Saccharomyces cerevisiae S288C: one gene and its partners. The protein of the gene in region 2 binds, or shares a complex with, the protein of the main gene of each other region. Each region holds a gene or a part of one and is shown on either strand. Other genes may lie near its edges. The genes, in order: SNU13, SMB1, SMD1 and SMD3.

Evidence for each region.
Region 1: SMB1 (region 2) and SNU13 share a complex: the UniProt entries of both Saccharomyces cerevisiae proteins name them as parts of the U4/U6-U5 tri-snRNP complex.
Region 3: SMB1 (region 2) and SMD1 share a complex: the UniProt entries of both Saccharomyces cerevisiae proteins name them as parts of the sm core complex.
Region 4: SMB1 (region 2) and SMD3 share a complex: the UniProt entries of both Saccharomyces cerevisiae proteins name them as parts of the sm core complex.

Annotation. Positions count from the first base shown.
Region 1 is NC_001137.3:98,123-105,737, forward strand, and holds SNU13 (RNA binding protein SNU13), read left to right. Parts: upstream 1-3,820; coding exon 3,821-4,201; downstream 4,202-7,615. Other genes in the region: YEL028W (uncharacterized protein), read left to right, coding at 546-1,007; VMA3 (H(+)-transporting V0 sector ATPase subunit c), read left to right, coding at 2,647-3,129; YEL025C (uncharacterized protein), read right to left, coding at 4,459-7,615. UniProt on the Saccharomyces cerevisiae protein: Common component of the spliceosome and rRNA processing machinery. In association with the spliceosomal U4/U6.U5 tri-snRNP particle, required for splicing of pre-mRNA.
Region 2 is NC_001137.3:212,087-220,263, forward strand, and holds SMB1 (mRNA splicing protein SMB1), read right to left. Parts: upstream 1,092-8,177; coding exon 501-1,091; downstream 1-500. Other genes in the region: CHZ1 (Chz1p), read left to right, coding at 1,351-1,812; Rab family GTPase YPT31, read right to left, coding at 1,990-2,661; FIR1 (Fir1p), read left to right, coding at 2,977-5,607; ZRG8 (Zrg8p), read right to left, coding at 5,971-8,177. UniProt on the Saccharomyces cerevisiae protein: Plays a role in pre-mRNA splicing as a core component of the spliceosomal U1, U2, U4 and U5 small nuclear ribonucleoproteins (snRNPs), the building blocks of the spliceosome.
Region 3 is NC_001139.9:630,936-638,544, forward strand, and holds SMD1 (mRNA splicing protein SMD1), read left to right. Parts: upstream 1-4,776; coding exon 4,777-5,217; downstream 5,218-7,609. Other genes in the region: Rho family guanine nucleotide exchange factor ROM1, read left to right, coding at 1-338; ENV11 (Env11p), read right to left, coding at 546-3,128; UPF3 (Upf3p), read left to right, coding at 3,369-4,532; U4/U6-U5 snRNP complex subunit PRP38, read right to left, coding at 5,212-5,940; mitochondrial 54S ribosomal protein mL59 MRPL25, read right to left, coding at 6,169-6,642; PEX8 (Pex8p), read right to left, coding at 6,809-7,609. UniProt on the Saccharomyces cerevisiae protein: lays a role in pre-mRNA splicing as a core component of the spliceosomal U1, U2, U4 and U5 small nuclear ribonucleoproteins (snRNPs), the building blocks of the spliceosome. Also binds telomerase RNA and is required for its accumulation.
Region 4 is NC_001144.5:428,516-436,416, reverse strand, and holds SMD3 (mRNA splicing protein SMD3), read left to right. Parts: upstream 1-1,953; coding exon 1,954-2,259; downstream 2,260-7,901. Other genes in the region: tethering complex subunit PEP3, read right to left, coding at 1-1,776; YLR146W-A (uncharacterized protein), read right to left, coding at 2,359-2,547; SPE4 (spermine synthase), read left to right, coding at 2,692-3,594; RMP1 (Rmp1p), read right to left, coding at 3,644-4,249; ACF2 (endo-1,3(4)-beta-glucanase), read left to right, coding at 4,401-6,740; DPH6 (diphthine--ammonia ligase), read right to left, coding at 7,031-7,901. UniProt on the Saccharomyces cerevisiae protein: Plays a role in pre-mRNA splicing as a core component of the spliceosomal U1, U2, U4 and U5 small nuclear ribonucleoproteins (snRNPs), the building blocks of the spliceosome. Also binds telomerase RNA and is required for its accumulation.

The DNA of each region.
Region 1 (7,615 bases), 110 kb from region 2:
TTTGCAGTATTTAATGAGAGTTGGTGGCCAAGAATAATGGATGATAGCGCATCAAAAAAAGGAAGCTGATATGAACGACTTCACATAGAACTTTGACTCTTCTACAACGTGAATGCCTTTGATAAGAATGAAATTCCAAAACAAGTAGTGTTGGGAGGTAAATTTCCTCCACTGCTAATTCCAACTACGTGTGCATTTTTCAATAGTAATATTCCGTCACAAGAGGCTTATTTTCATTTTCTCTACCCTCATCTTTTTTTCACTTTTTTCCTTACAATGAATACATGTGATATAGATACTTAATTGTCTGTTTTGCGAGCTTGCTTCTTCATATCTATGTAATATGGGCCAGGTCAACCCAACATCTACCAATTATCTATATGATGAAAAATATGATTGGTAGTTACCGCCAATGCATAGATTTTAGACAACTTAATAAGGCCATGTTAAAGGGTGCATTCCCACTATCGCGCTTAGGATTGGATGAAGCATAACTTTTCTTCACTGTCAAATTGCATCGTAGTTATATCAGATCCAAATAAAAAATGAAAATAACAATAACAAGCCTTCTATTTTTTCTTGTCATGATCGTCGAGCTCGCAAGTGCGGGCACACTACTTCATAATGGTGCAAATTTGCCCTCATTACGTGATAACACCACTCTAACTGATGCTCGTAATGTGTTAAAGTACTTACAAGTGCTTGGTTTTCCAAGCAACAAAATAGCGGCTACAGATACTGTTGGAACTTTTATCATATTTAGCAATCGTACGGAAGCTAACACTACCGCTATGACGAAGACAGTGTCATACTGTTATCGTAACTACGGGCATAGTTTCTACTTCACTCATTACAAATACGACTATTTTCCTAGCGGGATTAGTTATATGGCAAAACTTGGCGATGCCACCGTCAACCATACGGACTTACCTCACTTTAGGAACAACAAACGGCTAACAACGCAAGAACTCAATGCCTTCCAACATCCAATTGTCGAGTTTCAGTAAGTACTCAGGTATTACGTTATGTACATGTATGATAATTCTGATTAACATCTTTTATACACAAAGATGTATGCATGAATGGTGCAAATATCTCGACGATGCGCAGTAAAGAAAGCAATTTACTACTAACGTCTAGCGATATCATAGATGATGACAGGATAACGATATAGGTTAGATGGATATTGGAGTAATTGTCAAGTCCCATTTTGATTGAAGACAACATTATTAGGCCTACAGAGTTGCTAAAATTCTCCACTAGGTCACAGGAGTTCGCAAAAGAGAATCAACAATCTACATAACCATGCACACATTTCTTCGTCCTCTACGTTATAATTTACTGCTCTAAAAGCGTCACTTCTCCTTTCATTTTATGTTTTATTGTTCATTATCCTACTGCGTTATCAATCCTTACATTTCGGCTTCCACTAAATTTAATGACTGCTTCTCATCATTTCATGTCTTCTAACGCCGTATATAATAATATCCCAGCAAAATATAACTGTTAGTTAGTGAATCATAACCGACTGTTACTCCTGCAATATCCATGGGAGAAATCACCATCGGAAGGTAAACTAACACGTAGGTATTGATTCTACCGGAAATGAACAAATGTCGTACTGCCCAAATGAGCCAAATGCCATCATATACGCCTTCATAACTATATTTGAAAAATACCTTTGCCTAAAAGACGAGTGGTATTGGAAACTTCAATTAGTGTTCAAAAATGTCCAGTGAGAGGATGAAGTTGTCGTGGTTGAAACAGCATAAACCACCTAAAATAGTATCAACTGACAACAACTGTGGAACACATGCGGTTACTTTTATAATTAACCGCAAAATACCTGAAATGAGCTAAGAAATAGTAATTATAAACATGCCACTACAAGTAACAGATTAAGTGATATGTTGGCGGACCTCAATATAAGCGACATGGAGAGATAGAGATAGAAGAATTTGTTATTGTGTTAATAAATAAAGTTAACATCCAGTTCTTTCAAGTTGGCTAAGCGCCGTGGCGCAGTGGAAGCGCGCAGGGCTCATAACCCTGATGTCCTCGGATCGAAACCGAGCGGCGCTAATTTTTCATTTCTTTTTGCCCGCAACAATAACACAGATCGCAATCATTTAAGCTATAGACTATAAGCTTTAACTTCTGCGTTATTATTAATAATTGTTATTGTTTTAGTTAGGTATTTCTATCAACTTATTTTATATATTCTATATTACAGTTTTCTTTTTTTACAAATTCACCCAGCAATTATTTATTATTAATTGTACATCTTCTTTAATAATGAATTTATTATTGCACAATATTCAACTTAGGAAAGATAGAGGAACTGAATTCTTTATCAGCAATGAAATAGGCCGTCTACGGCCGTCTACGGCCTATTCCATTGCTAAAAATTTGAATCGTATAAAGGGATATTACCCGGAAAAGAAACGCATTAAAAAAAAAAAAAAAAAAAAAACAGAAAAAGTGGTTAAGTGATTGACTGACCCTTGATAGTTTTGTACAATTATACACTCGTTCTGATTAAAAACTTGTTTATAAAAATCTTTTTAAAAGAAAGAGAAGATCGTGTTTATTGCTTTTCTCAAAAAGACTAATCAATTAGAATAACAAAAGAAACATATACATATAATGACTGAATTGTGTCCTGTCTACGCCCCTTTCTTTGGTGCCATTGGTTGTGCCTCTGCAATTATCTTCACCTCATTAGGTGCTGCTTACGGTACTGCTAAGTCTGGTGTTGGTATCTGTGCCACTTGTGTGTTGAGACCAGACCTATTATTCAAGAACATTGTTCCTGTTATTATGGCTGGTATCATTGCCATTTACGGTTTAGTTGTTTCCGTTTTGGTTTGTTATTCGTTGGGTCAAAAGCAAGCTTTGTACACCGGTTTCATCCAATTGGGTGCCGGTCTATCAGTCGGTTTGAGTGGTCTAGCTGCTGGTTTCGCTATTGGTATTGTCGGTGATGCAGGTGTTAGAGGTTCCTCTCAACAACCAAGATTATTCGTCGGTATGATTTTGATTTTGATTTTTGCTGAAGTTTTGGGTCTATACGGTTTGATTGTTGCTTTGTTGTTGAACTCCAGGGCTACTCAAGATGTTGTCTGTTAAGGCAGCTTCTGAATCACTAAAGCAGGAATAGAGTATACAAAAGAATCTTTTTGTGAGAAACTATGAAAACTATCAAAATTTTTCATCTTAGAGATTGTTTATAGCCCCTATTCTTACTTCATATCCAAACTACCTCATTTCAAGCTTCCTTTTTATTAGTACCATTATTATTGTTTAAAAGAGTATTACACGCTAAATATGTATATCTTAATTTTTAATGTGTATAAAATAGAAAATTTGAATATCAAGGAGCAACAAAGAGCATTATGCGTTTTAAGCTACACAATGGGTACGATGAGATCACTATACCTGTACTCTTAAAAGAGGCCCAACCTTATCAACTTCTATTGTTAAAGTAGACAATTGTATCGTTTCTTTTTCTTATCGGTTTTATCCGGGTAATAAATTCAGCATATAGAAAAATTTTTCATTTCTATTTTCTTTTTCTTTTCATTTTTCCTTTTTCTCAGAAAATTTTTTTTTCTAATGCTGGAATGAGATGAGTTAGAAAATTTTTCACTTTAAAACTGATTATTCTGGTTAATAGTGCTTATTCCTCTTAGTGTTCAAGTCCTACTTTCAAATCTTAATTTAAATCATCATTCGAGCGAGCTTTCTATACCAGGACCATACTGATTATTGCAAGGAACTTGAATAAACCAGATTTCATACTATAAAAACTATATTAAAAATGTCTGCCCCAAACCCAAAGGCTTTCCCATTAGCCGATGCTGCATTAACCCAACAAATCTTGGATGTCGTTCAACAGGCTGCTAACTTGAGACAATTGAAGAAAGGTGCCAACGAAGCTACCAAAACTTTGAACCGTGGTATCTCCGAATTCATCATTATGGCTGCTGACTGTGAACCTATTGAAATCCTATTGCATTTACCATTACTATGTGAAGACAAGAATGTTCCATATGTCTTTGTTCCATCTAGAGTTGCTTTAGGTAGAGCTTGTGGTGTTTCTAGACCAGTTATTGCTGCTTCTATTACCACCAACGATGCTTCTGCTATCAAGACCCAAATCTACGCTGTCAAGGACAAGATTGAAACTTTATTAATTTAAGTAGATTGGATTATATCTATCAACATAGTTTTTGTACCATCTATATACTATAAAAAAGTTTTTTGCTTTCCACTAGTGCAGACGCTAATAGTGCTGTTTTGTTAGTGGTATGATATATGTCATATCTTCATTGAATAACCTACTCGAGTGCATCTGTAAATGCACAAACATGTATTATCAATTGAGCTGTAGTAATTTAGGCATAACAAAAAGGTGCAAGATCTCATGGCACCTATTCGTTCGTAGGAGATTTATTGTCACCTTTTTAGTTTTACAGGATCGAAAAAATCTATGGTCTTGTATGGTGAATGATCTATATGTCTTCTCTTTGAATTTCTAGCTAGCTCATCAAAGCCGCTTTCATTTATTCCAGTCTCTTTACTCACGGAATATTGTTTAGTAACATTTCGCATGCTTTTCTCAGACCTTCGAAAAGCTCTTTTACATTCGAGCTTGATCTTTTTGTAATCATGCAACGTTCTCATCCACAGCTCACCAATGAATTCCGATATTATATAAATTTGGCCCTCAGTACCGCAAAGTAAAAATAGAGGTATGACGCCTTCCAACCTTTGACTATTGAAATTTGGACATATTTGAAGGTTTTGAAATCCATCTGGGATGGCCGCCAGTGAGATTATCTTATTAGGTAACCGAATTTTGAGGTATGGCATAGCCAACCCGCCCTTATCAACTGATAATTTAGAATCTTCGTATATTGTCAAGGTATTATCAATACCAATGGTGGCAACATAAGATCTATTGGAATATTTCAACGTTGCACAAGAAAGGTCTGATAATCGACCTAATAGATAGTTCTTATCACTCGCTAAACAATCGTTTTTAGGTTCTCTTAGCTTCTTAGGAATTATTTTAGTCGCCACTTGTGTAATGCTTCCCAACCGCTTAAAACCCAAGTAGGGACATTCAGGGTACTCTGATGGATATACTATGGACGTCCTAATTGGAAAGCGGGTTCTCAAAAAATCTCTCAAGATCTCAAATTGAACCAGATAATCACCACTCATATAAGCTGGAAGACCTATATGGTTAATCGATGAAAGTGCTGGGAAGGAATAGGCCTCTAAAATTTCCGCGCCCTCTTTTAGCATGTTTATTTTATATGCTGCTATGCCACTATCACCAGAAAATAAAACCAAGTTGCACTCATAGTATATGAACACCGAGAATATACAATCTTCGAGATAATTCGCGTACAATTGGGTAATGTTATTGTTTCTAATTTCAAACAGCCAGAATTTTGTACGTTTTTCACCAACTCCTAAGCATACAACAAACTTATTACCATAAAAGGGTCTCTGTGATAAGTAGATTGAGTTTTGTTCTGGCCACAGTGGCTTCACAACGGCATGTAAATACTTTTCATCCGAGAAACTGAATGTGGAAACTGCCTTCATTGAAGCATAATTGAATAGCATCAACTTATACTGCCTACTATTGCTATCGACCAAACACACCACGGCCTGATTGAGGTTATTTGGAACAGTATAGAGCTCTACGGGAATGCTAGGGAGGTAAAAGATATGATTTTCTAATTGAGGTTTTAATGAAGTCATCTGCTTAGTGAAACCTTCACGGTAAAACGTGCTACCAAACTCAAAGATGCTTATTCGAGAATCATAATCTAAAACACAAAGAGAGAACAGTGCTTTACCGGGTCGAATTCTCATTCGTCTTGGAACTAAGCCTAACTGTATGCAACCATAAGACATGTTTTGAAGATTTAACAAAATTATTTCCTTATCGTTGTAAAGGAAAACCAAAGGTAAGGAAGGAATCGTATCCAACAGTTCTAATTTCTGATCGTATAACGAATGAATCTCTAAATCCACTCTCAAAAAATTTGATTCTGATTTGTAGACTCTTACGCAGCCAGTGTATGATGATGCGATGACATAAATCGAGTCGTGTTTATGCTTTTTGCTTAGCCAAGATATTTTTATCAATTGATCATAGGCTATGAAAGAATAGTCTGGATGTGATGTAGCCACTTTCTTTTGATTGGCATTCCATACCGAAAACACACCGTCCAAGTAAATGACAAAAAGGTATTTCTCGGCACCATCTGAGAAACAGCTCACAATACTCTCTTTAGAATTGAGCCCATGGATAAAAAATTCTTCTTTTTTACGTAGAAAACCAGATTTTGCCTCAAGTATCGAAATCCTGAGCTTGGAGTTCTGTACGGGATAACAAAACATGGTGGAAGAGTTGTGGTTCGACTGCAAGAAATCGACCTGCCTAAATTCTCCGGTAGAACCATCCATACCGGCTTTCAAAACTTTTCCCGTCCTAGAAACAAATAGACCGTAATCATAAGGCTCATCCATTAAAAATATTCCGTTCTTATAAATCAACCCACCTGATTCATATGCAAATTCGTCACCACCATTAAGTGCTAAATCTGTAACCCAAAAATCAGTTACATTCTCTACTAGCGCTTTGGAGGAAGTCACTAACTTGAACAGGGTTTTGTCATATACCAAAATTTTCTTTTCTAAAAATCCTCTTCTTGAGTTAAAACTTCCACCCAAAAGCAGTGAATCAATATCTGTCCCCTTGTTTCCAATAACTTGTGATGCCAGGTAAACTTTGTTTGTATAAGCGGGACCGCTTTTCACCTTTTCTAATTTTGAACCTCGATGATCTTTCGATATAAAATTTACTCCATTTATTCTTGTCACCGCTATATACTTTTCACGTGGGAGCTGCAAAATAACATCGCATAGATCATGTTTAGGAGGCTTGAACACTCTTTCTTTTGTCCATTGTAGTTCTTTCAGGACGTGGTCTCTATGTAACGACCTAGTGTGTATCTTGGCAGTGTATTTGTTAGCATACACGTCAGAAATTGTCAAGAGAATGACTGATCTTTCATATATCACATCATAAGAATCTTTTAGAAATTGGTAGTTTTCTACATTTGGGAGACCTTTATTATTGAAAAAAGCCCCGTTTGTAAGCCCACTTGCTTTTATATTTATTATTTGAGTGTAGTTAGTAGTCAACACTACAATGGTATGGCCGCAAACTACCTTCATATAACAAAATTCATTATCACATATCGGCAAAAGATTGTATTGGCGGTACTCGTTTAAATCAAATTTCCTACTTCCATGCTTTCCAGCAAGATTGTATTCCTTTAAAAACAGGTTTTCACTATAGCAACTCTTAAGTAGGCAAAGAAAATAAACGTGTGATTTACCTGTGCATGTGGCGTCGTCAAGCAAATCCTCCCTGCTAATAAAATCAAAGGAGATAATTTCTTCGCCATCGGTGGCATAAAATCTTTCGACTATTCCTTCTCTGAAGTCAAAGGAGTAAATTGTCGTACATAACGTATGCAAATCACTATCATATGATATGTTTTTATTGCAAGTGTATAAAACACCC
Region 2 (8,177 bases):
GGGAGCTAAATCATTTATACACGGAAAAATTAGTGAAGGATTTTTTGGTGGGGTCTCCAAGGAAGTAATTTCTACGGTGTGGTCTATGTATGTTTTTCCGGACGCGTTCCGCCGTTTTGGTTTCTGCCCCAGAACACCCCCCATAAAAGAGGTTTTTCCGAAGAGTGCCTTTCAGTTTTTCCGAGATCTTTATCTTTTTCATCCGTATTATGTAAACCTGAATAGCCCCTTGAGCAATTGAGTTGCATAATAGCATGCAATTGCATATTGAACCTCCTAGGACTTAAAGGTTATTCGTCAACTAAGGAAAAATATGCTCATAACTTACATATCTCGTACACCCTAAAATCCCACACAGGGATTAAAATTAAAATTATGTTTAGGTAATGAAAAAATAGTAAAAAAATGCTTCCTTAAGTTAATTATGAATTTCCCTATTAACACACATGCGTACACAAAAAAAGTATACGGAAACTATATTAGACTACACTACATCAACCTTATTTTCTTTTAAAACCTGGTGGGGGCTGAAACTTCCTTGTTTGAGGGGGCGCTTCATTATTAAACCTCGACCTATTTGCGCCGATATTATCGTTGCCACCATTGTATCTGCTCGACGATGGTTGGGCAATCTCCCTAGAATTGCTACTAGTATGCTTCGCATTGGCCGTGTTAGGTTTAGCGATCTTTCCCGGCTTTTTCTCTTTCTCTTTTCTTAGTTTCGTCTGCTTTTGCGCTTGTTTCTTTTCCTTTTTATCTCTCACTAGTCTTTCCTTCTTGGATAGTAGCGGCTTATCCTCCACCACTGTGGATAAGATCTGTTCTCCTCTTAGTATAGTCAGTCCCAACACTCTTTTTTCTACCTTGATGTTCAAAGTGGTTCCATCTTTTGAATCTTTTCTCGGTCTTAATTTATCTAGTTGAGTTTTGGGTACCCTCTCTTCTATACACTCATTCAACACTAAATTCATATGTTTATCAAATGCCATCAATTGCCCGATGTAAACGCGGCCATCTTGAGTGAGAACCCTCAGCTTATAATCAATAAGGTTGGCTAGTCGGCTGCTATGTGCCACCTGTATTTTGCTCATTAGTTATTTACTTTACTGGAAACCTGTTATACGGATGGTTCTGTTACCCCTTCTACTTTTTTCCCTGTCTTGTTCATTTCTAACTAGCATAGGCTTCTTTAAATTTCATTTTTTATTTTCATAATTTTTATTTTGAATTTTTTCCCACATTATCGTGAGAAAAACAAGAACATGGAGAAATAAGGAAGCTCGGTGGGTGGTTAATTGGGGAACACACCTGGTAAGTAAAATTCAATACATGGAAGGAAAGAGAGAAATAATGTCTGACGAAGCAAAGGAAAAGCGTGAATTAGAAAGCCAAAAGGAATCAAGTCATAATAAATCCGAAAAGTCTGTGGAACCTAAGCCAAAGAGAAGAAGAAGAAGAAACTATGACGATTATGACGCTGAAGTAGCAAAAGAGGAGACTAAGGCTAAAAATGGTTTGACGAAGAGCGAAAATAATGGTACTGTTGAAGATTCTGAATCTGATATGGACGATGCCAAGTTAGACGCATTGATGGGAAATGAGGGAGAAGAAGAAGAGGACGATTTGGCAGAAATTGATACCTCTAATATCATCACATCCGGAAGAAGAACACGCGGCAAAGTAATTGACTATAAAAAGACTGCAGAAGAATTAGACAAGAAGGAACCTAGCACAGGCTCTAAAGATGATGTAGGATATGGTGAAAAAGAAGAAGACGATGAAGACGAAGAAGACGATGATTTTAAAGAGTAGTAAGCAAAATGTCGTACATACCGGCCTCTACTTGTGTATTCTGTTTACTTCAATTTCCTATATGCGTTCTATATGTATATAAACTATATGTCAGCAGAAAATTGTAAAAATATAGCACAGAATTAAAGGGGAGAAGAGTCATTCACATGCAAGTGCGCAACTGCTGCAAAATATCTCTTAACAACAGTTATTTCCATTTGCCTTTTTGTTTTCGTTTGGTGTTGGTGTCAGACTAATCGTTGGTCCATTAGGAGCGGACGCACCATTGGCATTCCCGTTGGCACTGGAGTCACCAAGGTCCATTTGATGCTTGCTGACCTTTTGATAGATGGTATTGATTAACTCTTCAAAAGCCTTATCCACGTTTTCACTGTTCAAAGCACTTGTTTCTGTGAATAATAACTGATTTTCCTGTGCAAAAGTCTTGGACTCCTCCGTAGGTACAGCACGTAAATGGGCCAAATCAGACTTGTTACCGATAAGCCCCACTGCGACGTTGTCATCTGCATTTTCTCTTAATTCTGATAACCAATGATTACAATTTTCATATGAGCTTGATTTACTGATATCGTAAACGATCAAGGCACCTACAGCTCCTCTATAATAAGCAGAAGTAATGGCTCTGTAACGTTCCTGGCCCGCAGTATCCCAAATCTGCGCCTTGATCCTCTTGCCATCAATTTCCAAAGTTCTGGTGGCAAACTCAACCCCAATTGTAGACTTTGAATCCATATTGAATTCGTTCTTCGTAAATCTTGACAATAGATTGGATTTCCCTACCCCGGAATCACCGATCAGTACAATTTTAAATAGTAGGTCGTAATCATACCCGTAGTCCTCGCTGCTCATTGTTGAAATCCCCAGACGCCGTCAGAATCCCTTTGCTGGCCTAAACAAAGTGCCTTGTAATAAAGGTCAAATTGTTATTCGTTTCTTTCTTGAAAAGTTTTGAGTTTCCCTCTTTCTCTAATTTAGCACCCGCACACCGCAGCGGCCTGTGATATTCCGCATTGGAAAATGGTAAACAAACAACAAACGAGCCCAAACATAACAACAGTAGAATTGACGCCTAGGAACAACAATACAACATACTTACAGCAAGACTACTACCTAATTAGTGCAATTAGATTGCGCTGGGATAGATCTGAAGCTTTTTTTCCGATTATGAGCCTCCCTGTTACACCTGTCAAGAGCAAAGTGTGCAGTACATTATCGATACAACATGAGATGGACCATGATCAATGCCGTGATGTGTTGTGCCCACGCGAAAACTTACTAGCCATTAATAGAACTAATAATATAGAGAGTGTTGCTATACCGCGACAGAGATCGAGCAAGAACAAGAAACCCCATGAGCATACACAATCGCAGGTTCGATTTTCCATTCCAGATCCAAATGAAATATCACAGGACTCCCCACTGAAAATTGTATTCCCCAAGAGTGGAAATGAAACCGAAAGAAGAATGTCTACTTCATCATTACTTATGAATAGCCATGGTCATTTAGTCGACATGCACTCTAAAATACTGGTCGATGTCCCTAAAGAAGTTTGGAAGTTTCATCATAACAGGAGAAAAAAATGTGAAAGCAGGCACCGTAAAACTCGTTCTGATGTTAGGTCCAACACAAGTAGTAGTGGAAAAGAACCAAACCATTCTAGATCAAAATCATTACAGTCGATCATTGTGGATACAATGAACACATATCGTGCAACCGAGGTTGAGACCAGTATTAATGAGAATACTAGTAATATTAGCCAAGTATCTCCGCTGAATTTATCATTTGACAGGCCTCCTCCCTTAACTCCCGAAAAGAATTTATATCTCACTCCTGAATCGCCATTGAACAGATATCATTTACCAGTTCCATTAGAAATATCTCTGCCGCCCTACTTATCTCCGCAAAACAAGGATAAAAAGAGGAGTAGCTTGGTTTACGATGGGGATGGCTATAGCCAGTTTCAAGAAGGTAACACCTCATCGTCAACTGAATCTTCTCTAGAACAGCCCTCATCGTCGTATTCAGATGAAGATGATTCTATTCCATATGCCCACCATGATGTGTCTTTCGAGTTAAATAATGCAGATGCTGATAAGCTTCTTGGAATTGATGAGAACGCCAACGTCAATCTGAAGATACAAAGGAGAAATCTCAAAAACCCACAACATATTAAGAGTAAAACAGATAGGGAATGTGAGGAAAAAAACACTGAAAAAAATGTTTCGTTAAAAATTCTGTCAACACCAAATAAACTGATAGACATCCCCGACTTAGAGCACATGAAATCCCCACCAAGCACAGGTTTAAATGGGACATTAAAATTTTTCCAGCAGTTTGAACCTAGCGAGGAGCCAACTTCTCCAACTCGCCAAGTTAACCCTGAATCACTGGACAAACTCGATATGTCATTCAAATTTCCCTCCAGTACTACTAACAATAATGTGGATAAGGTACATGAAAATAGAAACTCTGGAGACACGAACAATGAAGATTTCCTGAAAGTTGATACTTCGCCTGTGAATCAATCATTTGAATCCAGAAGACAGATGTTAATAGACTTGCAAAAATCTCCGACGAATAATAATCCGAGGATACATAAACATAGGAGAAGCAGGAGCGTTCATAATATTGATGACATTTCCTTAAATTTCGAGGCAACCTCCACACCACCAGCTCCGACCTCTGCTCCCTCAATTCCTGTTGAACATTCTAACCCATGTACTTCCATTGAAATACCTAAGAGATCACCCTTACGGTTCACGTCATCTCCAAAAACATCTGATATTCCTCCTGAAGCTCAATCACCTAAAAATGGGTCCTTCCTCCAAGAAATCTCGGTACCTTCGATTCAAATTATACCAGATGAAAGTATCTCTCATACAAGAGAACCATCACCATCACTTATTGAATGCCCAGAGGATGAAAACGAAGCTTTTTCTACTGAAGTTGCTGACCATTCTATTGCAATAATTAGTGAAACAAAAAGTGTTCCATCGATAGAGCCATTCAAACCGCTATCTTCATTCAATTCATTTGGTCAAGAAATTCAAAACAAGGAACCAACTCCTTTGAACCAAACTCCTACAGACTTAATTGGTAAACAAAGAAACTGTGTGAATCCGCATTCAATTCCATTTAGTGTTTTATCTTCCAATAGCCAATCGTCACAATCGGGTAGTAGTAAATCTTCCTACAATTCTGAGTTTTCTTCCAATACTGCCATTACGGATACAACATCTCAACCTTCTGTGACCATTAACAGGTCAACTTTAGAACATAACTTTATAGAAGAAAAACGATCAATTAAAAATTTAGGTCATGGTCCTCCATCCCAGAAGAACAACTATTCGTTCCCCAGGAATAAGAATACTCCTTCAAATAGACACGATTTGGATTTTAATACCATTTACGAAAAAAGAGATGGTAAAATGGTTGAGGTTATTCTTTTAGATGAGGATGAAGATGTAGGCCTCAAAAATAACGATATATCACGAACAAGAGTCTGCCATGCTCAAAAAGCTAAAAATGAGCAACAGAAGAAACGTCTAAGCCATTGCAACGAAATTTTGGGCATGTGTGATAAAACTGCAGATGATGCAAAAAGAATTATTTATCAACTGGTAAATGAGAAGCATAAATTCTCAGAAAAAGGACAACAAACAAAGCCAAAAAAATCAAGAGTACTTCCGCCGTTGCCTTTTCCACTGTATGATGAAAAAGGGAATTCTTTGATCCCGAACAAGTATCAGTCCAGTATTCATAACGACATTCCATCTCATCGCAAACTAAAATAAAAAAAAAAAAAACAACCCTACAAATTGTTCTGGTAAACAGATTTGACCAGCTCATCGCATGAAGATTTATCGGAATGGCAATTTGCTTATTGCCTATTTTATTTTTTCATCGGACATTACAAAATTTCATATCTCTTACATGTAAGAAAAACTTCTAGTTTTTGTACTTTCTTAAAAAAACTATATTCAGACATGCCAATTCTGTAAAACAAATTAATAATATGTACTTTTATATCTACCAAAGATCATCCTTGGCACATGCAATTGATTACAAATACGAACATTACGCAAAGGTTTTAAAGCTAGTCACCTACTAGGGAAGAAATGTGGAGGCTACGGGCATAAAAAACATGCAGTATTTTCTCACGCTCTCTTTGGCGAGCTTTGAACAGAAGATGGTGTCTCCTGAATAGGGCTTAATGAGTAGTCATTTGAGAACTCCGGTGTGGGTTTAGTAAATGAATTAGTTGGTGTGATAGTTGTCGGTAAATTTGGTGAGATTACGTAGTTATCATTGCATTTTCCATCTAAACCATTCGATATTTGATGTTGTGGCGAAAGAACACTTGAAGGTTCTACGTTTTGACCAACATTATGATTTTGATATTTACTATCTCTCATTTGGGATGAAGTTTTTCGGGAGAGTGAATTGCAGTCATAAGTATTCCAATTATTACTGTTAAAGAAGGTGACAGTCTTGTTTGTAAGTTCAATCTTATTTTTCATCGGAGCTAATTCTTTAGCCCCTTGGTTGATCGTTAATTTCCCATTAAAACTATGCGTACTTCTGAAAGACGATGACACAGATGAAAAAGGAGAGACTTCTCTATTCTTGGAGCCGCCCCGTAAAGGAGATTTCAGTGTACGACGATTAAGATCATCTCTTTCAGAATCAGAGAAGTTAAAATCCTCTGGAATGCCATTAATTTCATCGATGTCGTAGTGGTCGAAATCAAAAAACTTACTTTTCTGATTGTATTCGTCTTCCTCAGCTTCATCAATGAAAAAGAGATTACTCATTGGTCTGGGGACTTCTGAATCTAAATCGCAATTTAAGTCATGATATTTTAGTGATTGAGACCTAGCTGGCGGCGGAAGAGGGGGGCTATTGAGTACAGCCGTATACTGTGGGCTCGCATAGTGCGGCTGCTGTGAATGAGAGGAATCAATAAGTTGAAACGGAGTTCTTAGTATGCTACTAGTGTCATCATCATCATCTTCACCATCATCATCGGTGATTGCAAGGGCTTGTGATTGCGCATCAGAAACGCTTGGAGTTATTACAATCTTAGCCGGTGTTTGAAGAATCTGCGAATGAGGATGATTGGGAGGATGGGATTCTGATTTGGTTTCATACAAAGAACTTTGCAGGGAGACCTGCCTTTCTGAATCATTGGATACTAAGCCGTTAGAATTGTTCCCTCCTGTCCCAGAATCACTTTCAGCGTCACTTGCACTATCATCAACATTAAATATATCTGAAAACGACTTTACTGTAGGCTTGGTAGAGCCAGTAGTACCTGTAAGGGAAGCCTTTATTGCAGAAGTGTGCTCCGTTTCATCATCCGAATTATTCCTTTTGAGAGAGAAACTATAGTTCGGCTTTCCATCACGTATGATATTTTTGTTAGATTGACTATAGATCCCCCGTGTTGATTTTGCATTTGCTGGTCCACTTTCTATACTAGGAGCTTCATCGGAAAACATATAAGACTCAGCTTCTGACATCTCTTTGTCGTCGTTATCGTCCTCATCAGACAAATCGAAAAGGTCATTGTATTTTTGAATAGGCTTCTTGACATTATCGTTTATTAGAAACTGCTCTTTGTTGTCAACCGTTTCTCCAAGAGATGCATCATCATGGTGTCCGCCATGGTTACCATTAAAAGTTTCTTTCCCGTTTTCTAATCGTTTTTGATAAAGATTATCACTCTCATTTTCATCTCCATTGTTACTGTTATCTTTACCATCCTCCTCCTCATCATCATCGCTCAAGTTAAAAAGATCATTGAACTTTTTGACTTTATTGCTTTTCAAGGATGTTTCTTCGAATCGAGTCGATAAACCGCATATTTCGTTTCCCTCATTACCACTCTCATCATCTTCTATACAATTCATATCGTCATCAAAGTTCTCATCCTCATATAGATCGTCTATGTATACATTTGCCGCCGGTTCCGGTTTGGAGTAATACTTTACAGATGATGTCCTTACGTTTATGCCGGCATATTCAAACGAAAATTCCGACTCATCATCATCATCATCGTCATCATCATCGTCATCATAATCATCATCATGATCATTATCGCCATCACCGTTTTCAGAAGATTCGTCATTACAATCGTTGGCTTTATGGGTTTCTTTTTCATTGACAGAGTATTCATCGGAATTGTTGTTGAGGGAATACACCTTTTCTTCTTCTTTTCTATTAAGACTAATCCTTACTTTTTTCTTGTTCAAGGTCTCGTTTTGACTATCGTTTTTGTTCACTTTTGAAGGTGATGATTGTAAGTCGCCGTGTCGTATCTTTGGTGAGAGGGAAAGTGTTTGACTATAAAAACAAGGTGACT
Region 3 (7,609 bases), on a different chromosome or scaffold from region 2:
ATAAAGAGACGTTCAAAGTAGTTTCCATGTTTCCGATAAAAAATTCAACTTTTGCATGTTTTCCAGAACTCTGCTTTTTTCTCAATAAGCAAGGGAAGAGGGAGGAGACAAAGGGATGTTTTCATTGGGAGGGGGAACCAGAACAGTTCGCGTGTTCCTACCCTTATATTGTGGCAATTAATAGTAACTTTATTGAAATTAGACATATAGAAAATGGAGAACTTGTCCGCTGTGTACTTGGAAACAAGATACGTATGTTAAAATCATATGCCAAGAAGATCTTATATTGTTATGAGGATCCTCAAGGATTTGAAATTATCGAACTGTTAAATTTTTGAGTTGACCGCCCATATTAATACCTTAAAACTTATTTCTTGAACCTATACATCTAAATTTAAGTAATATTATTTTATTTGTATAACCATATGTAGTTTACCTGAAATATATGGGTGCCATTAAGAAAATATAATACAATGGACAAGAATTTTGTCCTAGAAAATAAAGTCTTGAAAGTATATTGTCCTTTCCTTTGGAATATTATGTCACTAGCAAGCATCGAAAATTGATCCAGAGTGAAAATTAATTTTTTCGAGATTAAACTGTGAATTCAAAAGTTTGATTTTAATTGTTTCCTCACTCAACTTGGTACTGAAGTCTTGATTAGCTGTTAGAGAAGATAATTCTGACCGTATTGAAGATGTCGAATTTACTGAAAGCAACTGAAGTAAAATATCGATTACTTCAATCTTGTTTTTACTGCTTATGTAATTATTCCAAATTGAATCCGAGATAGGAATATGAATATCAAATGTCTCTTCCATGGGATTTAGGCACCATTCCCCCGAGTTAGAGTCGTTTTCCTCAGATAACTCATGTTTTGTAAAGTGAGATCCATCGAAGCTAATATCATTATCATTTAAGTAGTCATGGTATGCATTAGGCAGCTCATGCGCAATTCTGTTGACATAGCGTAATAGATCATCCCGAATGATTTGGACAAGTAATGAATCTTCTGTTAGTGGTGCGGTTAACTTGGTGTTACATAAAAGCTCTACGTCCCGTGATTCTTTCATAAAAATGGCCTCGTAGTCAGAAAGAAGATTATTACCGGAATTCCGACCGCTCTCCCCACCACTATTAGAGGAACGAAAATTAGTTATATTGATAAAGTTTTTAAGATACCTTAGAACAATTTTGGTCATGTTATGAACTATTTTATTTACCGATGTTGTGCCAAAGATTTCATTTAGAAGGCTTTTACTTTGGAAGATTGATGGATACAGGAAAGCACCAATCAAGTTTACATCATCAAGTAAATAAAGGTCTTTAACTTTTAGAAGCCTTGCTAGGATTTTTTCAAAGGGCTTTTTAGATTTGGTGAATTTGAAGCTTCGTATAATCTCTGTCAAATATAACTCAAACTTAATGATAAAAACCAAGGTATGGGTAAATTTCAATGGAGCGGAAGAAGCAAAGTACTCAATTGATTGCTCGAAAGTTCTTAACGTCTCTTCTACCGTGTTTATTAGACGAAAATCGGATTCACTAAGTGATTCATTTTCTAAATGAGAGTTGATAGACTTGAAGAAAGGAACTAAGTTTGCAAATTTTTCTAAGATACTCTTCAAAGCTGAAAATCTATCGCAGTTACAGGAAAGGATTGAAGTAAGTTCATTGCAGTTAGGTTGTGTATAATTTTGGCAGTATAATAGGAAATCCGATTTTAGGGAGTCGTTTAAGTTAACTTCTTCTATCAAACAGCATATTTTGCCGAGAATAGTAGATGATAAATCAATATGGGAAAAATCTATTAATGAGTCTAACAAAGAGCCTCCTGAATGATTTTCTTTGGCCACAGAAAAGGAAGACAGCATTGATTCAGTAGGAACATTAAACAACGGCTGTAAAAAACAATGAAGTAATTCAGATACTATGCAAGTATGGTACTTTATCTCCCTCACACTCCCGCTATGGAAAGTAAAATTATGACTGTTTCTATTCTCTAGTACCATTGTATAATGGCTTTGAGGCAAAGTTATAGAAATCACCGATTTTTGTAAGCCAGGGTATTTCGAATACAAATTGTTGAGCTGTTCCTGCCAGACACTAATATCTATATCCGTTGTTTTACGTACAAAAATAGATAATGGTAAACCCTTCGAAACTTTGTTGGTATTATCGAACAGTTGCAAAGAAAATAATGATCTTTTTCCAGCCAGTTCTGTAAAATTTACAGAAATAAGATGGGATAAGTCCAAGTTAGACAATTGTGCCCGAATTTCCCTAGAATATTTCAAGTAAAGAGGTTGATTTGATTCCTTACTATCGGATAAATGGATAGTAAAGGGTAATTGTGTATCATTCCTTGATATAGACCTTCTGATCAACTCATCAATTGATTTTGACAACCCTATAATTGACTCCTCTATTATATTGGTAGTTAAAGGAGGGATCCTATGAAATTTTGATAAAAGAGATTTAAAGGACACATTCTCAAAGAAGTTCAGCGGTAAATTTTCTGAGGCTATGACTATGGCTACTAATTGGGAAATAGAAAGGTAATTACTGCTCTGTAATTTTCCTATGTCAAAGCATTTGAAACTTTGGTCGGAATTGAAGGTTAACGAATCATAGCCGTGTCTACGTGTAATTTCTGTGCTGGAAGTATTGTTTTTGAGATTGGAGTCTCCTACTGTGAAATTCATGGAATAGAAGTTTTTATTGGCACTTATATTATGCTTTGTTTTCAAGTGAGATCTAAAGGTTTTTGTCAAACTTGCATCGCTTCTTGTTAGTATCTCTCCACAATGTTTACATTTAACTTTCGTTAATTTCTTTTCAATTGCTAGAAAATGGGACCAGAACTTTGCTATATTCTTCTTGAGCATTTGAACCGGAATCCATATATTTAACCCATCATTTATGATTTCGTCTTCCGGATGAATTCTACTTGATAGGATTTTATTGCCGTCTTTTTCTATAAGTTCTATATCCTCAGTATCGTCTTCTTCCTCGTCTTCCTCCTCATGACTAGTAGAGTGAGAAGATGAATGATCAGAATTATTGATGATTTCGTTATCTTCTAAAGTCACCAAATCCCCATGTAAATCATCCAATGCAGTGTTCATATTAATGATTGAGTAGATTGGTACATATGCTATTTCGGAAGACTTTTGTTATTCTATGGTTTATCATCCCTTTATTTATTTTGTGTATTGTTTGCTGATCAAAAGTTGAAAATTTTTCGCCTAAAAAGTAAGATACAAAAGAAAATATTGTCGATGATTATTGCATGAATATATCAGCAAAGAGGAAAGGAAAACCTACTGAGGGACTTACATTTCTGCTGAAATATATAGTAATCTATCATGAGCAATGTGGCTGGGGAATTGAAGAATAGTGAGGGGAAAAAGAAAGGCAGGGGAAATAGGTATCATAACAAGAACAGAGGAAAAAGTAAGAATGAGACGGTAGATCCTAAAAAGAATGAGAATAAGGTTAATAATGCTACTAATGCTACCCACAACAATAGCAAAGGCAGAAGGAATAACAAGAAAAGGAACAGAGAGTATTATAACTATAAAAGAAAGGCTAGATTGGGTAAATCAACCGAGAATGAAGGATTTAAGCTTGTTATTAGATTGCTACCTCCAAATTTGACTGCAGATGAATTTTTTGCCATCTTACGAGATAATAATAACGATGATGGTGATAAGCAAGATATCCAGGGTAAACTCAAGTACAGTGACTGGTGTTTTTTTGAAGGTCATTATTCTAGTAAAGTATTCAAAAACTCGACATATTCTCGGTGCAATTTCTTGTTCGACAACTTATCAGACTTGGAAAAATGCGCAAATTTCATTAAAACTTGTAAATTCATTGATAATAAGGATAATATTACAATTCCAGATATGAAACTGTCGCCCTACGTAAAGAAATTCACTCAAACATCAAAAAAGGATGCCGCGCTAGTAGGAACAATTGAAGAAGACGAAATTTTTAAAACATTTATGAATTCAATGAAACAGCTGAATGAAAATGACGAGTACTCATTCCAAGATTTTAGCGTATTGAAATCTTTAGAAAAAGAATTCTCAAAAAGCATAGAGTTAGAAAATAAAATAGCAGAAAGAACAGAAAGGGTGTTAACAGAGCTGGTTGGAACTGGTGATAAGGTCAAGAATAAGAACAAAAAGAAGAAAAATAAAAACGCCAAAAAGAAATTCAAAGAAGAGGAAGCATCCGCTAAGATACCAAAGAAAAAACGGAACAGAGGCAAGAAGAAGCGTGAAAATCGTGAAAAAAGCACCATTTCTAAGACCAAGAACAGTAATGTGGTTATTATTGAGGAAGCGGGTAAAGAGGTTTTGAAACAAAGGAAGAAGAAAATGCTTTTGCAAGAGAAGTTAAAAATATCAAACTCCTCTCAGCCTCAGTCATCATCCGCTCAAACCCAGCCGTCGTTCCAACCTAAAGAAAACCTTTTCGTACCACGGGTAAAAATTTTGCATCGTGATGATACCAAGAAGTAGTAAAAGCTCATGGCTTCTTATATATTATATATGGAATACATTTATAATAAAATAATAAGAATTATATATTTTATGATTATATTATTACATAAAGTATTCCCCATTATAAATTCTGAGTTTCGTATTTAATGATTTTTCAATGAATATTTAAAATAATAAAATATATGAAATGTTCATATACAATGAAATTGTCATGAAGAAAGATGACTCCAAGTATCGTTTATAAATCGTCGAGAAAAAGATTATGAAGTTGGTTAACTTTTTAAAAAAGCTGCGCAATGAGCAGGTTACCATAGAACTAAAAAACGGTACCACCGTTTGGGGTACACTGCAGTCGGTATCACCACAAATGAATGCTATCTTAACTGACGTGAAGTTGACCCTACCACAACCCCGACTAAATAAATTGAACAGTAATGGTATTGCGATGGCTAGTCTGTACTTGACTGGAGGACAGCAACCTACTGCAAGTGACAACATAGCAAGTTTGCAATACATAAACATTAGAGGCAATACCATAAGACAGATAATCTTACCTGATTCCTTGAACCTGGATTCACTTTTGGTTGACCAAAAGCAACTTAATTCCCTAAGAAGATCGGGTCAAATTGCAAATGACCCCAGCAAAAAGAGAAGGCGCGATTTTGGTGCACCAGCGAATAAAAGGCCAAGAAGAGGTCTATGATTCGCTGCTGGTGTCGTTGTCATCTTCACTGTCACCATTACTTTCGCTTTCGCTAGAACTACTCTCTTCATCAGAGTTGTATATTTTATTCCATTGACATTTCCCTAATGGAATACCCCAGATATGGTCCTGTGTGGCCAACCAATCGACTAATTCATCAATGTGTATTATACAAAGTTCTTCGTTATAGGAGTGAGCAAAGCAGTCTACTTGTAGTGGGAAACTTTTTAGTTTGAAATAATGCTGTGAATATTTGTATAATTGTACTTTAAATAACTTTATCAAATCATTTTCATCATCATCGTTTTTGTTATTGCCATTCAAATAATAATACTGTAACCGCGCATAAACCAGAAGCAAAGCAATAATATATTTCGAGTCAAAACCGTTCTCATTTTTTACATTCAATAAGAAGTTCAACTGCTGGAAATTCGGTCTGATTTCGATTAACTTCATTAAGATGCATTTAAACTCAATGCCACCGAGAACCATCATGTGTAAATGACCATTTTGACCTTTTATGGTACCAAATGCGCCAATCATAACTTTCAAAAGCTCTACCATTGTATTGCCTCTCAAAGATTCGTTGCTTAGATTTACTTTATAGTACATTGAATTATGAATTTTATCTCTTGTCAACCGAGGAATAACAAGTGACACTGACTGGTTATTCAGTTGTTTTGGAGAGATGTTAGACTCCACTTGAAATTCATTGACAGCCATTGTAGTCCTTGTTCTTTACCCACGTTTTGTTTTTGTTCTTGCGTTTTTACTGCCACTGAAAATATAGCGTTGTAATGGCTTTAGATTTTACTTTTTTTTATCATAATTCTTGTTCAGAACGTTCGTTATTGATATCACAAAATTATTTACATGATTAGACATTAAAAACATAAAACAGTACACATAGGGTTTACTATTCTAAACTATAGTTATCTTCTCTCTTATTCTTCAGAACCAGCCTATACTTTGGTTTTTTTTCATTTTTTCTACTCTCTTGGCATACTTCGAACCCTTCTTGGAAGCAATCAACTCATCTACCTTCTTTAAAGCTTCTTCACGTTTTTTTAGCTTTTCGTTTAATTTCAATTCATGCTTATGACCCTTGGGCAAGAGAACACCTTTCATGAGGGTCTTTTTATTGTATTTCTCCTCGAAGAAAAGTTTCTTAGTGTTTTCGATCGGTGGTAAAAACTCTTCTACTCCATAACGCAGTGCCAACTTATATACGTCACTCATTCTTCTAAGTGAATATTTCGGATCATGAAATCGTTGTGTGACCGGATGTTTATTTGGCAGGAAAGGATTGGCATTAATGGCTTTAGTAGATGTAGACACTGGAGAATACTTGATTGAAGGGGGGTATCTTTGGAAAAAGGACTTCAATTTCAAAGGCAAACTATCAAAATACTGTTTGTATGACATGGAGTTTAGTTTAATGCACTAGTTGGTTTTCCTATTCTGTATAAATGGTTCACTTTATTTCGTATTTCACTTGCTCTTCCACTTTCACTTGTATCCCAGTCATTTTTTTTTTTTGTTTGAGAAAAAAGGAATATAAAAAGGCGCTACTATAAAGTACTTAATGATACTATAATTTAGAAGATTGACTTGATAAGACCGTTGTGTACCACCAGTCGATGGCTAGGGAGGATTCTAGACTCGAAACCATTTCCCACAATTGTTGAAGTAGCTTTTTGTTATGTGTATTGATTAGCTGGAGACAGATGTTCAACCAGCCGATCAAATGATGAGGATTGTTGATAAAGGCTATTTGTACAATCAGACATTCAATCAATACATTCTTCTTTTCTGGGTTTTTTACATTAACAATTCTGATATACGTCTCGTGCAAAGAGTCCCTAAGCAAATGCTTGTTATAATTATGTAGTGAGGGAAGTTGTGTGGATAGATGGCCGAATATAAGTAAAATTTGATTTGCGGACAATTTACCTGCAATAAATTGGTCCATCGACATCTTTAAATAGACGAGTATGCGGGATACTTGCCATTGTGCAACCTGTGAGGAATAAGAGGAGTCTATAGACAGTACAGTGATTGTCAATGTGTGTATAGATTCTTTGATTTCAATATCCAAGGTATTGCCCGTCTTCCCGCTAAAAAATACATCGAAATGCAGTAAAGGTTCGATAAACTCAGTAATAAACGGCAAACGAATGCGACACCCATAGTAATTAGTAATTTTGTTTAGAAAATTGATGTAAAACACTAATTTATTTGGATCTTGTTTGGTGTTGTTTCTTTTCATTAGTTCCAAAACTGTAGTGATTTTAGACAAGTCATCCATGACAATGAAATACGTTACTAAATTATCGTAAACATAATCGTAACTGGGAAAACCGACTGTCCCGATTTTTTGAGTCAATACGTG
Region 4 (7,901 bases), on a different chromosome or scaffold from region 2:
TTGCCAATTTGTGAAAAATTTTAAAATTGTTGGAATTAACTTATTTGGATCCAAGTCTTTGATTTTCATCCACGTTGACACAGTAGCCTCTGGTGAATTCAATAAGAGAATCAAAGAGTACTTATAGACTAGGTCATGGTTATTTATTGTAAGCAGAATTTTCAAGGACTCATACCAATTTCCTTGGTCAATCCAAAATGATAATAAAAACTTCATATCGTTGATTAGACTAGCAAAAATCAATAATTCGTTTTGCCGGTTTTGTTTGGACATTATTTGATAAACGGTTTCATTATCAAGTTTTTCTAGATGGCTTTCCAAAAATTTCGTTAGTTCATTCGATTTCTCCTTGAGATTCAGGTTCCAGTTTAGCAAATTGTCTTCATCAGTAGAAGCTGGCTTAGTTGTGTTTATCTTTAATTCAATATCATTCAATTGTTTCATAAAATTCCAAATAATCCAACTCGACAAGACGACTTGAGTTGATTTCCAGGGAACGTTATCCAACTGTTTTATCAATATTACGTTCAAATCGTTGTAATCTTTTATTTGGAGAAAATTCAATGCGATTTCCCCAAAGTGTGACAAGTCCTTCATGCTTCCCAAAGTTTGAGCCGCGGAATGAAAATCTTTAGCAGTGTGGAAAAGGTACATTGCCTTTGAAAGTTTTACAGATTCTATTTCCCTCACCGTCAAGCCTTTCAACGATAGGGCCTTGTCAAATTTGTTATCCCGAACTAATAAATTCCATACCGAATTAGGCTCATTTTCGATAATAATTTCAAAGACGTTGATGTTTGAGAAACACCAAAACGTTTCTTTCACCGAATCTCTTACTAGGCCTAAAAATTTCTCATTACTATCAGTGTTGGAGCCAGTCAACTGGTGTCTCGGTATAGTTTCATGAAACACTACGTCGTTATTTAATTGACTCACCATTGTTACCGTATTTTTTCTCAAAAGCAGGATGTGGAAAGCAGTCAAAACTATATCCTTGATGAGGTGATCTTTATCATTCTGGTAGTCAGGCAGTTCGAAATTGAGTAGAACCTTCGACGAAGATAGGAATTTTCCAAAATTATTAGAAGCAGGATCTTTTTCCATTTGCTTTTCTTTTAAATCACCAAAGACAATTCCATTGGATGTGACCCAAGCAAAGAGTCCATTGTACGAATCGAATTTCTTTATCGCATGATGTTTTAACCTTTCAAATTGCTCAGATTCATCTGGTAATACTAAAGGAAATTTCATATTTGTCACGTCTCTCCAGTATAAAATGTTGTCTTTTATAGTTAATAGCAGAGAGCCCTCCCAATACGCAATGCCATCAATTCCACCAGAGAGTTTCTTGTTTTCATACCATAGCTTCGTGGTTATATCCTTTCCTGTCAATTCAACTCGGTACAACTTGGGCGTCTTCTTGATTCCCATCAGAAAGGTGGTTTCGTTGATCCAATGTAGCGAGCTGAGGTCGAGATTTTTTATTTTGTTCAATTGAGTGAATTCGCCATCCTTTAGCAACATATACCGGCCAAAGTTGGTTCGAATAAGAATGACACTACCCATTGGTGAAACATGAACATTCATTATAGTTTCTAGTTCCTTGCTTAATGGACAGTCAAAGTGATTGACGATGGCCGGATCTTGTAAATTTATTCTGTAAATTGTCCGTTGTGTCGTTACTATAAGTTGATCATTGGAGACTTTCAAATGCGTAAGTTCGGTATTCCCTGTGAGGAATTGTAACTGAACTTCCTCTATACGTGTTTTTATCATTATATCCCTATATTTCTCTTTTTACTTCTTGGTACCTTATAGTTTTTACTTTTCTAGGGATGGCAGCTTCTTATTTCTTTCGTTCTATAGATTTGATATTTTTGAAATCGTTAAAAAATTCTTATAAGAGCAATACGAAGAGAATCAGAAAGCGCTGCGAGGCACGTATCAGAAACAATGACTATGAATGGAATACCAGTGAAATTATTAAATGAGGCACAGGGACATATCGTTTCTCTGGAGCTAACAACGGGAGCGACTTATCGTGGTAAACTTGTTGAAAGCGAAGATAGCATGAACGTACAGCTAAGAGATGTAATAGCTACAGAGCCCCAGGGGGCTGTAACACACATGGATCAAATATTCGTACGTGGGTCACAGATCAAATTTATCGTTGTTCCAGATCTCTTAAAGAATGCACCATTATTCAAAAAAAACTCATCAAGACCTATGCCACCAATAAGAGGACCTAAGAGAAGGTGATAATAGGAAACGTGACGGCAGAAACGCATTCATCATTGTAGGGGGAATATATATATATATTAATATTGTTTATGTAAAATATATTTGAATATAAATTTATCAGTTCGCACTGTTCGTGGTTGAATCCGCTGTTGTAGATGATTCCTTTATTTGTTCAAACTCGTTAAGATCGCAGCGAATTTGAGAATTCGTATCCCGCAACTGAGCAAATAACTGTTGTATTTCATTTTGCAACATCCGGGCATGCTCTACTGACGCTGTAGTCTTTTTTTTCTCTTCAGTGTCCATGGCTACTTCGAGCTTCTCTTTATTGCTAGATCCTTTTTAAGGTTATCTCAAAATTTTTCAAGTTGCTGCTGATTTTAGTTAAAAATAAAATATCAAAACGCCGATGAGACAGGCAGGATAAAGTGACAGATTCAGTTATACATTATGGTTAATAATTCACAGCATCCTTACATCAAAGATGGATGGTTTAGAGAGATTAATGATAAAAGTTTTCCGGGCCAGGCCTTTACTATGACCGTGGACTCAATACTTTATGAAGCCCGCAGTGAATTTCAGGACATCTTAATCTTCCGTAACAAGGTATACGGTACTGTTTTGGTCCTCGATGGTATTGTCCAATGTACGGAATTTGATGAGTTTGCCTATCAAGAGATGATCACCCACATTGCCATGTTTGCGCATTCTAATCCCAAGCGTGTACTTATCATTGGCGGTGGGGACGGAGGTGTCTTAAGGGAAGTAGCCAAGCACAGCTGTGTAGAAGATATCACTATGGTAGAAATTGACTCATCAGTGATCGAATTATCCCGTAAGTTCTTGCCCACATTGAGTAATGGTGCTTTCGATGACGAAAGGTTGGACTTGAAACTTTGCGATGGCTTCAAGTTCTTACAAGATATAGGTGCTTCCGACGTCCATAAGAAATTTGACGTCATTATTACAGATAGTTCTGATCCTGAAGGTCCAGCTGAAGCGTTTTTTCAAGAGAGGTATTTCGAACTATTGAAAGATGCTTTAAATCCTAATGGCGTTGTTATTATGCAAAGCTCTGAAAATTTTTGGTTAAATTTAAAATACTTACATGATTTGAAAAATACAGCCAAAAAGGTATTTCCTAATACAGAATATTGCTATACCATGGTTCCAACCTATACATCTGGCCAATTAGGTTTAATTGTTTGCAGTAATAACGCCAATATACCGTTGAACATTCCGCAAAGAAAGATATCTGAGCAAGAACAAGGGAAGCTGAAGTACTATAATCCTCAAATACATTCTAGTGCGTTTGTTTTGCCTACTTGGGCAGACAAGGTCATTAATGAATGATTTATTAGCATTGATATTATTATTTTAAAAAGTCTATTTACTTGTATATTTATCCGAATATGCCATCAATGGCTGATTTGTTCTTCTTTTTCCTTTTCTTTTTCTTCTTACAGTTCTCTGTCAGAGGCTTTGGTATAGACGTTATCACTAGTTCGTTTTCTTGAACGTTGTTGCCAATATCTTCATCTATAATTTCTCCAAGTTCTTCGACATCGTTCACAACCGATTTTGCTTTTGTTCTCGGTAAGTTCTTTATTAAGCATCCACATCTTATAAACTCAGTTTCATTAATCTCCCATAATCTCATATACAGTGCCCTCACATTTGCCAGCAATGTTACTAGTGTACAACCCAACGTTACAAATTGTCCCAGCGCAATTACGCCATTGAACTGCCAGTACCATCTCTTTAACTGTCTAAAAAGTGCTCTCTGTAATAGCCTGTGCAACTTGACCCATTCAACATCTTTAAGGCGTTTGGCTTGTAATCTTCTCGAGCTAAAAAGCGTTATTATTTGTCCACAATTTCTTTTCATCTCATTGAACGATCCATACCAGCTAGCCGCTCTATGTTGATTTTTGTTCCTATGGTTCAAGAGCAATATTAACCGATATTCTTGCTCCAGAGATCGTATCACATTATCCATCTCATCCATTTTGTTTCTGCTCTTTTTTTTTTTGTGGATATATCATTCTAGTACTCATTTCTTTGAAGTTTTTTTCTTGGAACCATAAATAAAATTCATGAATTTCTGAAAAGTGCTAGTATCATAAAAACAAAAATAAATAAATACGAGAAGTAAAAAGATGTGTTACAGTAGGCAAGCCATTCCTCCACCTGTTCCTAATAGACCTGGCGGTACTACCAATAGAGGACCTCCTCCCTTACCACCTCGCGCAAATGTTCAGCCACCAGTTTGTTCTTCTGAGAACTCCAGTAAACCTCGAGAAAATAGGGTGGCAGGTGAATCACTGCGCACACCAAGCAGTTCTAACCCTTTAGCTGACAGCCAGGTGAATAGTGACAATATTTTTCAATCACCTGTCCTTTCTAACTTAAAAGCTCCTCCTTCCGTCTTCAACAAAGTTCAACACCCGGTACCAAAGCCGAATATTGATGATCAATCTGTTGATCCATTGGAGACAAACAAGTTCTACACAAACATGTTATTAGACGATAATACACAACCTATATGGACACATCCTTATTCAATTTGGTTTTCTCGTGATCCAGAATTGTTTGGTTTGGCCGCCAATCATACTTTAGCGTCTCAAAGGGTTTTTGATACAACTACAAATCCTCCCAGATTCTACTTCAATCCCACAAATATAAAATCATTTGTATTCAAGGCCAGGGAATTTGTCTCTTCAAATGATATCAAGCTTGAATTCCGGGATATGAAACATATGTCCATGTGCTTACTAATGTCTTTGAGTAGTTCCCAGTTTATAGAATTCCCGCTGGTTCAGGGGATGGGCTTTGTCACGGCTATTTACCACGATTTGGGTTTTGAATTAAGAAGCGCCGTTGGTTTCAGGAGCTTAGAGCGCATAAGCGTGAATGAAAGATATGGTAAATATAATATACAACTTGAGAATAATAGGAATTGGATACTTTATTTGACCTCACCTGATTACTCTTTTCCACAAGATTTTCAAATTTCATTACTCGACAGCAATACAATAATATCATCTCATAAAATCAATGGTCTTATCTGTCAATTATCTGCAGACTCCGTCCCCAGTATTGACATGGCAGCGGGCTGTTATCCAGTATACTGTGACCTATCAGGGCAAACTGTTGATGAACATTTCACAAATTACAGATTTAACTATACGGTTGCAGGCTACTCGCAGTCTGGAACTACTCTAATGTATGCTTTACCACATCATAAAGCGGCATTCACACCAGAAATGCAGGAACGTGAAATTGCCTCAAGCCTGGATTCCACAGTTAAAGGCTTAATGACTGGTTATCTCACAAACAGTTTTGATATGCAGGTTCAAGTACCTCAAGAATTGGGCTTTGAACCTGTCGCGTTATCTTTGAATAAGAAGGCAGATTACAGTCAAGAAAAGCTATCTAAAATTCGGGAAGCTGCTGTTCAAGAAGTTCAATTGAGTGACCCTCAACAAGAATCAAACATAGATTCTATGTATTTCTCTGGTAAGATACTTGCAAAGTATGCGTGGATTCTTTATGTGACACATTACATCCTTCATGATGAAAATTTAACAAAAGAATTATTATCTAAACTGACTATTGCAATGGAGAGATTCATCAGCAATCAGCAAGTCTTACCTTTAAATTACGACGTTAGTTGGAAAGGCATAATTTCATCAGGCTCTTCTAGCCAAGACTTTGGTAACTCTTATTATAATGATCATCATTTTCATTACTCTTATCATGTCATAACGGCTGCCATTATCTCTTTAGTCGATTCTGATTTAAGTGGAGTTACTAACAACTCCTGGTTAGAAAATAATAGAGATTGGGTTGAGTGCTTAATTAGAGATTACTCTGGTGTTGACAACGATGATCCGTACTTCCCTCAATTTAGGTCATTTGATTGGTTTAATGGCCATTCATGGGCCAAAGGACTATTTCCAAGTGGTGACGGTAAAGATGAAGAATCTACTTCAGAAGATGTCAATTCTTGCTATGCGATAAAATTGTGGGGGTTGGTAACTGGAAATTCTAAGTTAACTGACATAGCGAACTTACAACTCGGCATCATGAGAAATGTTTTCCAGAGCTACTTCCTATACGAAAGCAATAATACTGTCCAACCGAAAGAATTTATTGGTAATAAAGTTAGTGGTATTTTATTCGAAAATAAAATTGATCACGCCACGTATTTTGGCATGGAGCCTCAATACATTCATATGATTCACGCCATTCCTATAACATCAGCATCTTCATGGGTCAGAACACCAAATTTTGTCAAAGAGGAGTGGGAAGAAAAAATGCAGCCGATAATTGATCAAGTGAATGACGGTTGGAAAGGAATAATCATGTTAAATATGGCTCTGCTTGATCCAAAATTTTCGTACGACTTTTTCAGCCAACCTGATTTCAACAGAAATTTCCTAGACAATGGGCAAAGCTTAACTTGGTCTTTAGCTTATTCAGGTGCTTTTTCTTAGGGGTCAGAAATATATACAGTGTTAGTAGCATGGTACAAGTGTTACGATAAGGTATTTTATAGAATGATCATTTTTTTATATGAATATTGGTTCCTAAACCATCATCAATAATCAAATTATTACAGAACACACCTTAATTGTGCGGCGTATTCTAAATTTTACGTGTTCACAATATGGTGTTGTTCCTATGATTTGCTAACATATTTGGGATCTGTCTATCATTTACACCGCCAGGAGCGTGGACAGCGTATATCTATTAAGTTTATAAAATATAAGGCCTACATTTGGAGTTAGGAACGAATATGCAACCCAAAGCGGTGTTCTTTACCACGGTAATCAAAAAGTTTCTCCACCGGATAGTATCCAATGTGATGGTGGAAAGTGATGATTTCTTTGGGATTATAATAGAGGGTAATCTGGGCTGATTTTGGGGTTTTTTCCAAGATAAGTTCTAACTCCTCTCTACTATCTACAAATCCCGTAATAAAGTTTCTATTATATCCAAACGCACTAACTGTAGTGTTATGAAAACCTTCAATATTCAAATTCAATTTCTGGAATACGGTTGAAACATCATCATTCTCTTCCCTTTCTTTCTTGTCGGAATCATTATCGTCCACTATTAATCTCTTACAAGTAACACCACCAAATTCTGCAACAGCGCCTCTAGGTAATTCAGAAATCTTTACAAGAACTAGGCATTTTTCAACATCATCAGATTTGTCCATCCATAGATCTGATCTATGATTCATATTTGAACAATAAAACGCCCATGTTTTGATGACAGAGTCGAGAACCGATTCGTCTGAAATATAGCATGTCATGAGTAACTTTTCTTGAGCTCCTATTGTTTCACACAAAGTATCAAAATGTTGTAATGCCAAAACTATTTGGTCAGTGAGAGGTGTTCCTAATATTTCCATTGACTGCGGTACTAGTCCGATTTGCCCACTGATAAAACTGACTTGGTTTGCATCATCGTTTAACCAAGTACTTTGGGAATATGGTCCGATATTACATGGAGCCCAATATGAACGGCCTTGAACATGTAGTCCGCCCTTATTCTTGTTGATTTTTTCTTTGCCTGTATTTTTTACATCAACAACAACTGATAACTGTACGTGACAATCTTCTGGCAAGCACTTCGAACCTACGCATGCT